Linked DNA regions of Drosophila melanogaster. The protein of the gene in region 1 interacts with the protein of each later gene in a biochemical or structural test. Each region holds a gene or a part of one and is shown in the gene's direction. Other genes may lie near its edges.

Evidence for each region. Proteins that work in one complex are often made in the same cells at the same time.
Region 2: the proteins of Map60 (region 1) and Cp190 form a complex in vitro, tested with the Drosophila melanogaster proteins (one study listed by BioGRID).
Region 3: of the proteins of Map60 (region 1) and Cdk1, one has a biochemical effect on the other in vitro, tested with the Drosophila melanogaster proteins (one study listed by BioGRID).

Annotation. Positions count from the first base shown.
Region 1 is NT_033778.4:9,589,346-9,593,280, forward strand, and holds Map60 (Microtubule-associated protein 60), read left to right. Parts: upstream 1-1,521; 5' UTR 1,522-1,683; coding exon 1,684-1,955; intron 1,956-2,019; coding exon 2,020-3,070; 3' UTR 3,071-3,399; downstream 3,400-3,935. Other genes in the region: clos (closca), read right to left, coding at 3,402-3,581, 3,645-3,935; CG1827 (uncharacterized protein), read left to right, coding at 1-1,039.
Region 2 is NT_033777.3:15,269,914-15,276,789, reverse strand, and holds Cp190 (centrosomal protein 190kD), read left to right. Parts: upstream 1-1,548; 5' UTR 1,549-1,665; intron 1,666-1,999; exon of another isoform or gene 2,000-2,178; 5' UTR 2,179-2,273; coding exon 2,274-2,675; intron 2,676-2,733; coding exon 2,734-3,733; intron 3,734-3,798; coding exon 3,799-4,739; intron 4,740-4,799; coding exon 4,800-5,747; 3' UTR 5,748-6,358; downstream 6,359-6,876. Other genes in the region: MRG15 (MORF-related gene 15), read left to right, coding at 1-205; CG4338 (uncharacterized protein), read right to left, coding at 352-1,176; Zip88E (Zinc/iron regulated transporter-related protein 88E), read right to left, coding at 6,595-6,605, 6,675-6,876. UniProt on the Drosophila melanogaster protein: Plays a central role in chromatin domain organization and boundary function through recruitment by a range of insulator DNA-binding proteins, including ZIPIC, pita, CTCF, su(Hw), cliff and others.
Region 3 is NT_033779.5:10,384,221-10,388,068, reverse strand, and holds Cdk1 (Cyclin-dependent kinase 1), read left to right. Parts: upstream 1-1,806; 5' UTR 1,807-1,891; coding exon 1,892-2,040; intron 2,041-2,425; coding exon 2,426-2,929; intron 2,930-2,986; coding exon 2,987-3,227; 3' UTR 3,228-3,330; downstream 3,331-3,848. Other genes in the region: mRpS7 (mitochondrial ribosomal protein S7), read right to left, coding at 595-1,207, 1,282-1,325; CG5096 (uncharacterized protein), read right to left, coding at 3,442-3,848. UniProt on the Drosophila melanogaster protein: Plays a key role in the control of the eukaryotic cell cycle. Required for entry into S-phase and mitosis.

The DNA of each region.
Region 1 (3,935 bases):
GAATAAGACGACGGGTGAGCTGCTGCCCATGGTCATTAACACTTGGAACTTCACGGCTGCCAATGTGCTCGCCTGGCGAATCCTGAAGCAAAGCAAGGGTGGACTCCGGCAGACGCGGAATGCGGTAGTGGAGGGCTGCTCGAAGTGTGAGAAACTCCAGTGTGACCGAACGGTGGGCTATGGCGGATCGCCGGACGAGTTGGGCGAAACCACACTGGATGCCATGGTCATGGACGGGGCCACCATGGATGTGGGGGCAGTGGCTGGTCTGCGACGCATTAAGGATGCCATTAAGGTAGCCCGGCATGTTCTGGAACACACGCAGCACACCATGCTGGTGGGTGATGCGGCGTCAGCTTTCGCCAATGCTATGGGATTCGAATCAGAGTCGCTGGTCACGCCGGAGTCGAAGGACATGTGGTTACAGTGGACGGCTGAGAACTGCCAGCCAAACTTCTGGAAGAACGTTCACCCGGATCCCAAGGTCTCTTGCGGCCCGTATAAGCCGCGGCCGACTCCGCTGACCCGCTGGAAGGAGGACCGTGCCCGCAATGAGTATGAGATCGGACGCAAGAACCACGATACCATCGGCATGATCGCCATCGACGTGGAAAGCAACATCCACGCCGGCACCTCCACCAACGGGGCGCGGCACAAGATTCCCGGACGGGTCGGCGACTCCCCCATTCCGGGTGCTGGCGCTTATGCAGACAACGAGGTGGGTGCAGCCGTGGCAACCGGAGATGGAGATGTGATGATGCGCTTCCTGCCCTCCCTGCTAGCGGTGGAGACCATGCGGGCGGGAAAACCTCCGGCTGAGGCAGCTCAAGAGGGCCTTCGCCGCATTCTCAAGCACCACAAGGATTTCATGGGTGCTCTCATCGCCGTAGATCGGCTGGGTAATTATGGCGCTGCCTGCTACGGCCTGGCCGAATTCCCCTTTATGGTTAGCAGTCCAGCCGGAGCGGATGGGCCTACGCGCTTGGAAACGGTCAAATGCATAGGTGGTCAGGACAAAGTAAATATCGTGGCGTTGTGAGGTGGCGAAAACTGTAACGTATTTCAATAAAATTTAAATTTCGTGGAGTTCTCATCTGCAATATAAATTGCGTTATTTGTTTGTCCCTATCGGCAGCAAGATAGACGGGTAGTTTTACCGTAAATTAGCGGTATTAAGAATTATCGATATGTAAGGATCCTTACATAAAATAAATAAATAAAGTATGAGAATAGAATAGAAAAAGACAAAACAAAAACCATTCCTTCGATAGTTATGACTACCAAAATGAATAACTTTTCCTTATGGAGAAACATTATAATTGTTATATAAGTAAAAATAATGCAAGTATTAATATTTATAGTGATAAATATAATATATAAAAATTTAATTTTCACTGCATCGAGAGCTGTGAACTGTGAACATCTATGTTGCCAAAATCTCCCTCATCCCTAAGTTACTGTACCAAAAGGCGGCATTTCTAGTATTTGCGTGTTGCACGGTCACATTTTCCGCCAATTTACCGACGCCAAATACAGAAGAAAAGAGAAGCGAACGGTGCGAAAGCGGAGAGAAAAACAAGCGGATCCTAGTTACATATACCAATTCGTGTGTCGCGTGTTATCAAAACAGCCTCCAAAATTATCAGGAACGCGCAACCAGCGGGCCGCAAGTCGCTGACTAAGATGGCAATCCAACTGGACAAGATTCTGCAGGACATCGCCAAAGAAAAGGTGCTGCATCCAAACAATGGCGGCGCCAGCAAGCAGGAGCAGGAGGAGGCGTGGGCCAGGATCGGGCGTCTCAACAAGCTCTCTGTGCACGAATCGCGCTCCATCTTCATAGTGCTCCAAAAGAAGTACGAGCAGGAAAAGCTAAAGGGCAATTCGGCGTGGAAGCTCTTCAGTCTGATGCATCAGATCCATCAGGAGCCTAAAATCTCAATCAAGGAGGAGAAGTAAGTGGCGTAAATAGTCCTCTAACCGTGAAACACTAACAAAATTTCTACTGCTATTCTGCAGTGATCAAGTACCCATGGAGGAGGTGGAGGAGTACGAAATGCTGGAGGTGCAGGAGCCTGAGGACGAGGATGACGCCCATCAGTACGGACAGCACACCAACTCTACCGGCTCGGCGTCCTCCGACGGCGAAAGCCCCACAAAGTCACACAGCACCGGTTCGCCAGAAAAGGACGAGCGGTTGGCGTACGCCAAACCCAACGTCGACACTCCTCGCCCAGCCATCGAGGAGAAAAAGCTGCTCAACACACTGGCTAACAACACACCGCGAAGTAGCTCGCTGTCCGCCGCCGCAGCAGTACTGCAAAAGAAGGGAATTACTGTGAAGAAGACGCCCAGCTCCGCAGCAGCACCGAAACCGGCTATTGGGCAACAGGCGCCAGCCAGTGGGCAAAGATCAAGCTCCTCGCGCACCACCATTCAGCTGCCAGATTCTTTGAAGCGCAAACTTTCGGAGGAGTACACCTCGTCATCGGCGCAAAAAAAGCAGACCAAGACCACGAGCCCGAAACAAGCCGCTTCATCGGCAGCCGCAACTTCAGTGCACACCAGCGTTCCAGATCAACTGCCGGCGGGAAACAATGTGGTGCACACAACCACTGCCCAGCTGATGCAGGTTAAGAAGGAGCGTGAGGACAACCAGACACCACCGCCGGGTATCAACATCATCACCATTCCATCGGCACAACAGATAAACGGTGGTGGTGGGGGAGCGAACTCATCGACAGCCGCCACCATTGCTTCCACCTCGGTGGCTTCCACAAACGGCTTTTCGCCACACATCGACGAGCTGGACTTTAAGAATGACATTATCTTCGGGCCGAAGATCAACGCCGCCTCCTCCAATACACCCGAGATTATCAACCTGGGCAACTTTGACAACTCGCTGCCGCCAACCTTTTTCAAGAATCTATGCAACTCGTCGCGACACGAGTCTCTCGGGCTGTACGTGGCCAATGTGATGAACAGACTCTCTTCGCGTGCCTCCGCCAAGCTGGAGCTGTCCATCTTGCGCGCCATCCTCGATGTGCAGAGCGACGAACTGGAGCAGTAGACCGACTGATACTCGCAATTTAAATGATTACTCAGCTTACTTATTAGACAAACTAAAAAGGTAGTTATGTAGTAGGCCTGTCTGAACCATTTCTCGTATTTATCGTATTATTTTTTCCGTGTTCAAACGTCTGCGTTCTGTGCCGCCCACTTGTAAAATGTATTTACTCACAGTTCTGGTATGAGTGTTCATAGCATTTACGCATGAATTTTAAAGCTAAATTTAAAATGTATTTCTAATATTTGAGATTTCGAATTTGTCCCTATTTAAGGTTGAATATGCTACTTGATTTTAAAATACGTTTATATGCAAATAAATCTACATAACTTACTTGAACTTCGCCCAAAAAGATGTATATCCGGTTGCCATGTGTAAGTAGTCCCTACTTCGCTGGGCATCTGCTCCCAGATGGCCAGTACGTCCTCGTTGTCCACGGAGATGATCTTCATGTGCGAGGCCTTATGAGGTAATTTCTGCAGCACAGCAAAGCCTTCCAGCACTTTAGGCGGCTCTGTTGGTTGAATTTAATGCACATGACTAAAGGAGAATTTGTATTAATGTGTTTTTAACATACTGGCCAATCTGTTTTTAATAGCTGCCACATTTTCCTGCAGCTGCTGCCAATCATGAATGTCATTCGATTCGACACCCCGCTTTTTCTTGTAATATTTATCCAGCAGCCCATTTCCGTTGCCCGCTTCGTAGTGACCCACAGTGAGGGGCTGGGTGAAGATCAGTTGGCTTTCCACGTGAAGATTGGGACGGTTTTCTGCCTTGCTGACCAGTAACTCGTTAACGGGCAGATCGTTGACGAAATCCACCCAGAGATTCTTCACATTATTGCTCATAACTCGCTTCTGTTCGG
Region 2 (6,876 bases), on another chromosome or scaffold:
GCTTTACGGATCTTTTCACCTGCTGCGTCTGTTTGTCCGCCTTGGCTCAATGCTCAGCTACTCTGCGTTGGATCAGCAGTCCATGCAGAACCTACTCACGCACGTGCAGGATTTCCTTAAATTCCTCGTAAAGAACAGCTCAATATTTTTCAGCATGAGCAACTTTATCAACGTTGATCCCGAGTACGTGCGAAATGCACAGTAAGCAATAATCTTTTCTTGACTTGAAGTAAATATTTCATCAAAACAGTTTGCAATAATTCGGTGGTTGCTCTCAATTTGCTCCCAAATTGTAAATTAAAACACAAGTAAAATGTTTTGTCATAAGGTAATAAATGTCAGCACCTTGTATTAGTTCTTCGGTTTCGCTTTTGTGTCTTCATCATCGCCCTCGGTCTCCGTCTCGCTACTACTACTACTACTGCTGGTGGGATAGAAGTCGCGAAGATCCCTAGGCTTATCCCGCTCCTGCTGTTCCTTCTCCAGGTACTCATTCTGCACCTTAACAATCTCATCGCTGCTCTTGCAGGCTGCATAGGCATTGAGAAGCTTGTCGTTTAGCTCCAGAAAGGCATGACCCCATGAGAACTTGCCCAGAAACCAGCGAGCCTCTTCCGTGAATCCACAGATGTATAGAGTGGCGGCTATGGCCTCCACGCAGCTGAGCTTGCAGGGCTTTCCGTAGTTGATGGGATTGGCGGCCACCAAGAAGGGCAGCAGTCGCGGATGTGGGCTGCGCATCCTTCCAAAGGGCGTCTCGTCCAGCTTGGCCCACGAGCAGTCGATCACGGCCACGCCCGAAGAGGCCACCACATCGCGATCCAGCGGACTTACACACAACTGGCCAACGGGCGAGAGGACAAGGCCAGGAAACTTCTGACCCAGTCGAAGATTTGAAATGAGTCCTAGGCGTGCCAGTTTCCTGCCCGAACACTTCTTTGGATCGCAGTGGTTGAGGTCCCACATGGCCACCGCAAACTCCGGCGGCTGGCCGAGATCATTTTGGGCTCCATCTCCCGAGGATTCCGAGTCGGAACTTTCATTTTCGCTGCTACTGCTGCTGGCCAGCTCGTTGGCCTGCTGAGCAAAGCTGCGGGCACAATTGTGATTCGCTTTGACATTGCGGTAGGGTCCTCCTCCACCCTTCTTTCCTTTGCCGCGGTTCCGTCCACTCATTATGTTTTGGTTTAAAACTTTATCAAAGCAAAAAAGAATCAAAGTGTTTTTAACGTCTCGTGGTGGCCAAGCCGACGACCCGTTTTATATATTTTGATTGCAAAGAAGGGTGGCGCAAGAAATGTGACACATTACGATGTCACTTTTCAAAATTTCAATAGTTTAAGTAAATGTATTTTGTTTTCAACTGCAAAACAATATTTATTAAAGTATTTTAAGTATATGTATTGTGTTTAGTAAGATTTAGCTTAAACTGCAATAACCTTAAAGTATATCATATTCAAATATTTTTAGACTTAACGATTAACTTCATCTGCGTTTACGTCACCTTAAAAATGTTAAGCATGAGACTGAGGTTATCGCATGGCTATCGATAGCTGCCGAGCGCAACCCTGTCACGCCAACGATGAATGGAAAAGAATATGGCGACCTGACTCTGGAAAAAAATTATAATTTGTCCGGCAAAAGTAGTGTGCAATTCAAAGAAATGTATGTATTAAAAGTGCAATTGTGCGGCGATTGTCTGAAAAAAGTACATTCAATCAAAGGACACGCAGTAAACAAGCCGCTGAGGTCAAAGTGATTTGTGCGTGCCCCAAAAAAACCATTGTTGTGTGAAGTGGACAGGCGCGCCAAAAGGGCTCAAAAAATGCCACCCACCGAAAGATGCCAAAGTTGGACTTACAAGAAAACATTGCAGAATTGCGGACAATGAACAATTACTGATAAATAATACAAGAAGCCTGGCGACGCGCACATCGCACACATACGCCCGCGAAACTGTCACACGTACACAGGCGTATATCGATATTTGCGAGTTGCATTTCGCGCCGTGGCGGCAGAGCAAAATAAACCGAATAACCCAAAATCAACGGGCGTCTATTTGAAACTAACAGCGGAATATACCATACTTACTAATTGTTATTCTTTCTTGTTTTACCCATTCACCTGCGTCCCATCCCAATACGCTTTTTCCGACTCCTTACCCCTGCGTGAGTACAGTTGCGCCCTGAAGCCAGAGCAAGCGAAACCACGGGGAGGCTAACGATAAGGATACGGAAACGGAGAGCACGGCCACTAGCCAAGCACACAGCAATATGGGTGAAGTCAAGTCCGTGAAAGTGGACAACTGGGGAGTCTTCTTCCTGCAGAAGCTGCAGAACTTCTTTAATAAAACGGATTACTGCGATTTGACGCTGCAGTTTCGGGACAATTCACAGCTAAAGGTACACCGTCTGGTGCTCAGCGCCTGCACCGACTACTTCAATGTACTGGAGCAGACCTGCGAGATCGTCGACGATGCCCTCATCATGCCCAACGAGTTCCAGGCGGACGTGGTGGTGCCCATTGTCAACTTCATGTACACAGGCACCCTGGAGTTTGAGCTTAAAATGTACGGCAAGCTGTTGCGCACCGCCAAGGAAATGAACATGACGGTGCTGTTGAAGCTGCTAGAGGCGCACCGTCGCACCATGGAGAACGTTAATCGCCAGCAAAGGGTGAGTGGTGGCAATTCATCATTTGTGAAAATATTTTGTAACCTTTTATTTTCTTTAGCCGCCTAGTCCAAAGGGAATACGCCGGCGCACAGTTGGACAGCCCAGTTCGGGTCTTCCACAACAGCGCGTCTTGGGTCCTTCGCCGCAATCGCGAAACGTAGCCACACCCATCGCGCAACGAGCCAACACACAGCGCGGGTCAACTGGCAACACAATGAGCCGAACATCAGGTGGCTCAAATCGTTCGCCGTATGGAGATAGTAGCAATGTGAAGCAGGAGCCAACGTCACCATTCGAGCAGCTGCGAAAGGGTTATAACAATAACAAGAGACCAGCACAGACAAGCCTGCTATCGCCGCCATCCAAGAAGCCCAGTTTGGAAGAGGTTAAGGAATTCGCTGAGCAACAACGGATGCGAAAGCAAATCGCCGCTGAGTACGGAGATAACGATCCTGAGTACGATGGAGGAATGCTTTATGATGATGTCCATGCCGGGGACGATGATGACGATGATATGCCACCGCAGCCATCTACATCTAAGCAGCAATCCCCACAGGGTACACAGACCCAACTAGAACATGGATCCACCACCATTATCTTGAAACAGGACTCACCCAGCCAGACCCCAACAATAATTGTCAAGGACTCCTCCAACGCCAAGCTGAATCACACCAAGATCATTGCCGAAGTCTTGCGCCAGTATCCGCACATTGTAAAGGGCCACAAAAACATAAAGCTAAAGATTATGCCCAATACCCCGGCAGCGCCGACCGAAAAATCTGCTCCAGCGACAGTAAAACCCCCGGCGAACCAGTCATCCGCAACTACATCGCCACACAAGAAACTGCACGTTTCTTTCAAAGCCGACAAGAGTACGCCACTAATCACAGCACAACAGAAGGCGGCTAGCTCTCAGCAAAAGTCGGGAACCTCGCAGACAACCGGTAACCAGGGAACCGGGGCGAATCCACCAGCAAATACAGCCGCAGCCCAGAAGAGACGCATTGATAGTAAGACAATGCACGCCTTGATCGCTCAGGGAGCAGAGAATACTACTGGTGAGTACAACATTTGTAGGTAATAGGTTCCCAAAAACAACTACTAATGAATATCTATATTTCAGGGCCCTGGCTGTGCCTGAGATGCGGCGTAAACGGACGACCCATTAGCATTCCGTCGTACCGAGGCTTCCGACGCCATCTGATCAACACGCACAAGGAGACAATTGATCCGGCGCTTTGTGAGCATTGCGGGTGGAGGTCTGTCAACAACCGGGAACTGCATTTCCACATGTATATGGAGCACCAGACCAAGTCGCTGCTGTATACGTTTGCCGAGTGCGCGCTATGCAACCAGTCTTACCGGACCAAGGGTGAGTTGGAGGCGCACATAAACGAGGTGCACACGGACGACAACAAGCAGCAGTGCATCTACTGCAACAAGGTGTTCGAGCAAGAGCTGCAGCTGTACAGACACATGAAGAGCTACCACAAGGAGCAGGCTTTGGAGGATGGCATTATCGATGAAACGGACGAAGAATTCCTCGGCTCGCAAGACGAGGAGGAAGAGGCCGAAGGAGACGAAGAGCAGGAACCAGAGCAGACTGGCAAAGTGCGAATCCTTTCGGACATAAGTCTACCAGCCACCAGTGCCATCACAGTGCAGCAAGCTCAACAGGAGCAACTGCAAGAGGAAGATGTTGAACAGGTGCAGCAGGAAGTCAAATTCGTGGGCGCCGATGGCAATGAGGTGGAGCTTACTGATGAGCAGCGCAAAGAGATTCTCTCACAGCTTAACCAGCAGCAAGCAGGCGCCACTGCCGGCGGTGTGGTAATGGTGCTCAGTGAGCCAGAAGCGGAGCACGTCAAGCAGGAGACCGATGAAAAATCCCTGGCCGGCACCGAAGAGGAATATGATGACAGTCAAATCTATAGCGAACTGGGTGCTGCCGACTCTGTGGAGAGCGCCAAAAAGAACATTGCTGATGAAAGCAAAGAGTCCATTGACAACCTGGAATGGGCCGAAAACCTTATAGCCGAGTCTGAAGAACAGAGCAACAAGGAGGTGAGTTTATTAAACACTTTTATGCAAGTACATCTACAACATGAGTCATACAACTTACAGCCAAAATCGGATAAGCCGCGAGATGACATTAGTGAAAAGCTAAAGGAGCTTACCGGCGACTGGACGGAGGATGAGAACGATGACGATGTCGACGATAAGCCCGCTACCGCAGAGCTTGCATCCGAACTAGCCAACAAGGACCCTGAGCCAACAGTACACGAGGAAGAAGATGATATTGACTTGGCTCTCCAGTCTCTACACAAGGGACCCGAAGAGGCAACTGAAGAAAAGGCAAGTGAGGAGTCTGTCACCAGTGCGGACGATGCAGTTGACGCAGTCCCCAATATAAATAGTCAGCCCGAGAAAATGGATGTGGACTCAGAAGCGGCGGACGAGAAGGCTTCGAAGGCCGAGGTCCAGATCAAGAAAGAGGCTGAGCTTGAAAACGATCAAGAGGAATTTATCAAAGAGGATTCACCAATTCCGCATTCCGATTCCGTGGCGGAATTAAGAGAGGCGGTAACTGCCTCTGAGGGCGAGGATGATGTGCATCTAGAGGCCGATAACATACGCAAAGAGCTGCTAGATGAGTTAATTGCCGAGGCCGAGAAACCTGATCAGGAGAAGGACATTGTTCAATCTGAAGAGAATGCGACGACAGAGGCGTTAGATAGGTCAGTAACGGACGAGGATGACCTGGTGCCACCTACGCAGGTATCTACCGAACAAATGGAGATTGATGAACCAGCAGCGGAAAAAGCAGCCGAAAATAATGAAGATACTAGAACGGCAGACGAGAAGGAAGCCGTCGAGGACAAACCAAACCAGACACAGGATGTAACCACTGCAGAAAAGCCGACACTAGAAAGTGCAAAAGCAGGTGATGAAGCAACGTCAGGTGAAGCAGCCAGCGTGGACAAGGTCAAGAGCCTCATTAGCGAATGGGGTGACGACGATGAGGACGAGGATGAGAATGGGGTTAGTGCGGCGGCGAAGGAGGAGCTATAATTACTAGATTTATTTATGTTCTAAGTTTGGCGATTCAACGCAGGTCAGCAGATAAACGCACCTGAGCTCGGCGCGAATTTTCGGTTTCTATTGTAAATTAAATTGTTAATGAAGATCAAGGTGAATGATAAGATATGCATATGCACTGGTTTAAGTGTATAAGATCTAATCTACTCATCTCACGTAATTGTAAATCCCCTCCCATCCCAAGTATGTTGCCCTGCTAGCATGAAAATCGTAAATCTAAGAGGAGTTCCCCAAATGACCTTAAATGAGAGATCAGAGACCAAACAACCCAACATTTAGCTATTTATGAGTGTCCGTTTCTTCACACATACACCACCAATAGAGCAACCAAGCAACATTTCACGATTAGGTAAACACTATATATATATATACACATATGCCTATTTACATACATATAGAGATGTAGTTACATAGATGTTGTTTTAATTCGTTTAAAACAGTGACATGATGTCCCCAGAAAGTAATAAAATGATTGCGTTTAATGGTTGGCTAAGTAAGATTAATCAAAAGGAAAAGAGGATGCCCTTTTTTTGATTAACAACTTAATTGTAAGGTTTATTACATATAATAAAAGCATAAAAAATAACACAAACTTTGGAGAAAGAGAAAATATAAATGTAGACGAGAAGACTGAACTTTTTACTTATCCTACGGCAGATCGACAATGTACCTAAAACAAGATTAGTTGGAAATGCACAAGTAACAAGTCTTACACAAGAGATTAACAGCTGCCAATCCATAATATTATCCTAAGTGTTCTAAGTTTAAAAAGCGGCACATTTTCTCACAGCGCTGAAACGATTTCTCAACGAAAAGATGTCTAATCCTCATCTGAAAAGGCGCGAAGAAAATAGGTCAGCAATGTCGAAAGGGAAATGCAAATCACATAATGCTACGCACCAGAAAGATAAAAGTTTATGATGCACATGGTCGCAAAGCCGGCGAGCACAGTTGCAAACTGTGCAAATCCCGCCCAGCGTCGCGTTGAGTTCGAGTGCCAGCGCGCCTTCTCGCGCGGTATCACCTCGCAGACGGTGACGTAGAAGAGTGTGCCTCCGGCCAGAGCTTGGACGATAGGCAGAGTTTTGCTGGACCAAGCGGC
Region 3 (3,848 bases), on another chromosome or scaffold:
AGTCCCTTCGATAGACGTACACCTCGACAACCTTAACGCACTGTTTACACCGTTGTCGTTGCGCGATAAACAGGTTACATTTTTTAACTTTGCACTTGAAAAAATATGTTTTTGAGACAATCAGGATAATTTATTTGTATAAAATTGCATTTTATACTGAAATTAAATAGAAAAATTCTAAAAAGAGTAGACTCTGTTATTAAGCTGTGCTATAATTTTAAATTAAATTCAGAAGCTTAAAACACGACGAACCAGGTAAATGGGTTGAAGAAATTTATATAAAAACTTAGTATAAGTGTAATAAGAAAAACTTTGGGTTTCAATAGCTATAACACCATTTGGAAAATCCAATTTTCAAATCTACTATAAACAACGTATAAGGAAAAATAAAGAAAAAATATTAGAAATGTGTTTTTATAATGGTATCATAGCTTCATACAATTTTACTAAGGTCCTCGTTTTTAGTCCCCATAAATCCAGGAATTATTTCGATATTCCGCTCTCTTAAGACATTCCCCGGACACAAATCCTAATCATAGATATTAACAGGTATATGAAAAGTTTATTGCATTGGAAAAACAGTTTGTTGTGCATTTAGCTCCATCGGTAATGTGCGTAGGCGCGGTTGCTTTCGCACAGCCTGTGCAGATCGTCCTTTCGCTTGATGACCCTTCCCTGGCCATGGGCTGCGTCGAGAATCTCCCAGGCCAACTTTTCCGGCAGGGACACCTTACGCTCCTTCTCGCGGGCAGCTTCCAAGAGCCACTTCATGGCCAGAAAATATGACCGCTTCGTGGTGATGGGAACAGGGACTTGATAGGTGACACCACCACGTTTTATGGCGGTCACTTGAAGGAGCGGTCGGCAGTTTTCAACCGCTTGTTTCAGAAGCGTTTCGGGATTGGTGTTTATGGTTGTCTTCTCCCCTTTGGCCAGATTCATGTGCTCCGTCTGGGTTCGTTTTATTAGCTCCAGCGTCTTGGACAAAAGCGTTCTGGCCAAGGCACTGTTCCCCTTTTTCGTTATATAATTGATCATTTTATGTTTTGTATCGTCGTGAAAGATGGTATCAGACGATTTGTTGACCGCCGCCTTGATGGGCACATGGTAAAGCTTGGACAGATCATTCTTTTGCTCTAGTTGTTTATATTTTTGTACAATTGGTTCGACATAGTGTGTGGGATACACCGACATCAATCGAAGGCAGCTACAATAAACAAATGGGTGATCAGTCATTTGTGTTTTTAGAGATAAGTAACACTTTAGAGAAGTTTAACTTACCTGAGCCTTGAAGTTTTCTCTGCAATCCTACCTAAAAGCGACATGTTTACATCGTCTGCTGTGTCGGCAAAAAATAAAAAAACTATGTTATATATATGTTATGCACATTTGCGGCATGCATATAGGTGTGTCAAGATATCGACAAAGAGCTTAGTAATTTTGAAACAACAAAAATGAAGTAAAACAGTTGCGGTATTCCAATTACATTTTTTAAATTAATTTCTTTAGTACCGTACTACTGGTACTCACCTTCAAAAGATATAAAATAGAAATTAATTGCACCAAAAACTCATAAGTTAATTAATAGTATATTAGCAGAAACGTTTGTCTCCGAACTCAAACAAAGTGATGTCTTAATTAATTGAAATCACTATAAAAAAAAGCGTGGAATTTTACAGTACACTAAAATTAACTTTAAAAAAATTAACAACATTTTTAAGATACAGCAATTCAATAAGTTGCCTGAATATTGAGTTTCATTCCCACATTCCAAATGAATAAATGTAGCTAGCTTAGCATCGTTTAAACTGTCTGGTAATACTAGAGCATATACGTCAAAAACGCGCTAATTTAAAAGTCGGTGGCTTGCAAAGAAATAGCTTAATAAATTATGGAGGATTTTGAGAAAATTGAGAAGATTGGCGAGGGCACATATGGCGTGGTGTATAAGGGTCGCAACCGCCTGACGGGCCAAATTGTGGCAATGAAGAAAATCCGCTTGGAGTCCGACGACGAAGGCGTTCCATCAACCGCGATCAGGTAAAATGCCGCGGCTTGGACGCCCAAGCCTCAAAATGTTTCATGTTCTTTCGCGACTTTTCCATTCAAATGGCTTATATGCTTAATTGAAAGTATGTTCCTTGACATCTTATGGGTTGGTTTGAAGATTTTGCAATATTGTTTTTAATTTATACTGTGGAAGTCTAGCATAATTATGTTACGGCTTATGTTCATCATACATATGTGTGTGTATGTACAATCCTATATGCGTACTTATGCTCATGTGTACATCATCATACTTTCTATTTATGTTTATTAATTGGAAGCCTGCGAATACTTTCTGGTTCAACTGATAGACCAATAACTAAAATACTTTAATCACATGTTTTTTCTATAATGTAGTAATATTTAATATCCATTACAGAGAAATTTCGTTGCTTAAGGAGTTGAAACATGAAAACATTGTCTGTTTGGAGGATGTTTTGATGGAGGAGAACCGCATATACTTGATCTTTGAATTCCTATCGATGGACCTCAAGAAATACATGGATTCGCTGCCAGTTGATAAGCACATGGAGAGTGAATTGGTCCGTAGCTATTTGTACCAAATAACTAGCGCCATTCTTTTCTGCCATCGTCGGCGAGTACTTCACCGTGATCTTAAGCCGCAGAACTTACTAATCGACAAGAGTGGCCTCATAAAAGTCGCCGACTTTGGACTTGGCCGATCCTTTGGCATTCCGGTGCGCATTTATACGCACGAGATTGTTACCTTGTGGTACAGAGCGCCGGAGGTGCTACTGGGTTCACCCCGGTATTCCTGTCCCGTCGATATCTGGTCCATTGGATGCATATTCGCGGAGATGGCAACGAGAAAGCCGCTATTCCAGGGTGACTCGGAAATTGACCAGTTGTTTAGAATGTTTAGGTAACCACAGGTAATTTACTTTCTATTCCCTGTGATACTCACACTCATTGATTGCAGAATTCTGAAAACACCTACCGAAGACATTTGGCCGGGCGTTACTTCGCTACCCGACTATAAGAACACGTTCCCCTGCTGGTCCACGAACCAATTGACCAATCAGTTAAAGAATCTCGATGCGAATGGTATTGATCTCATACAAAAGATGTTAATCTACGATCCAGTTCATCGCATTTCCGCCAAGGACATTTTGGAGCATCCCTATTTCAATGGTTTTCAATCGGGCTTAGTTCGAAATTAACGTTCGGTATTCTCGTTTGACTTTAACTAAGAATTTTAAAACAAGAGATCTTGGTATCTAATCTAAAGCAAAATAGCCGTAAATAAAACTAAGGGTGTAAAACAATCAACGTTTACTTAATTTATGTAAGTGTATTTACAGATTTACGCCAAATTACCAGCGCTCTAACAGAATAATAAGGCTTCAAGGCTTTAATTATTATACAAAAAGAAAGTTAAATATGGAAATCCTCGTTGAAACTAGTCCTATTATAGAGAGCACTGCTAGCACCGCTGTCATGACGTCTAAAGACGCCAAAGCAGCCGCGCCTCTTCATCACGTAAGCACCAATGATGGTCGGCACCGCGATGAGCAGGACAACCAAGAGTCCAACCCATATAAGACTGCCCGTCGAACTTTCTATCATATGTTCATTCGCCACTCTGAGCAGCGTAACATCGTTTAACTTGTTCGGACCGCCACATTTGACATCTTTGGCCAGAACGGGCGTGGTCTTGTTGATTCGATCTATCAAGACGTTGATCAAGAAGTCATTGGATTCGTCGCAATTCCACGGGTTGAATCTAAGATCCAGAGCCTTAAGTTTATCCCAGCGCACTAGTAGTTCTTTCGGCAAAGTCG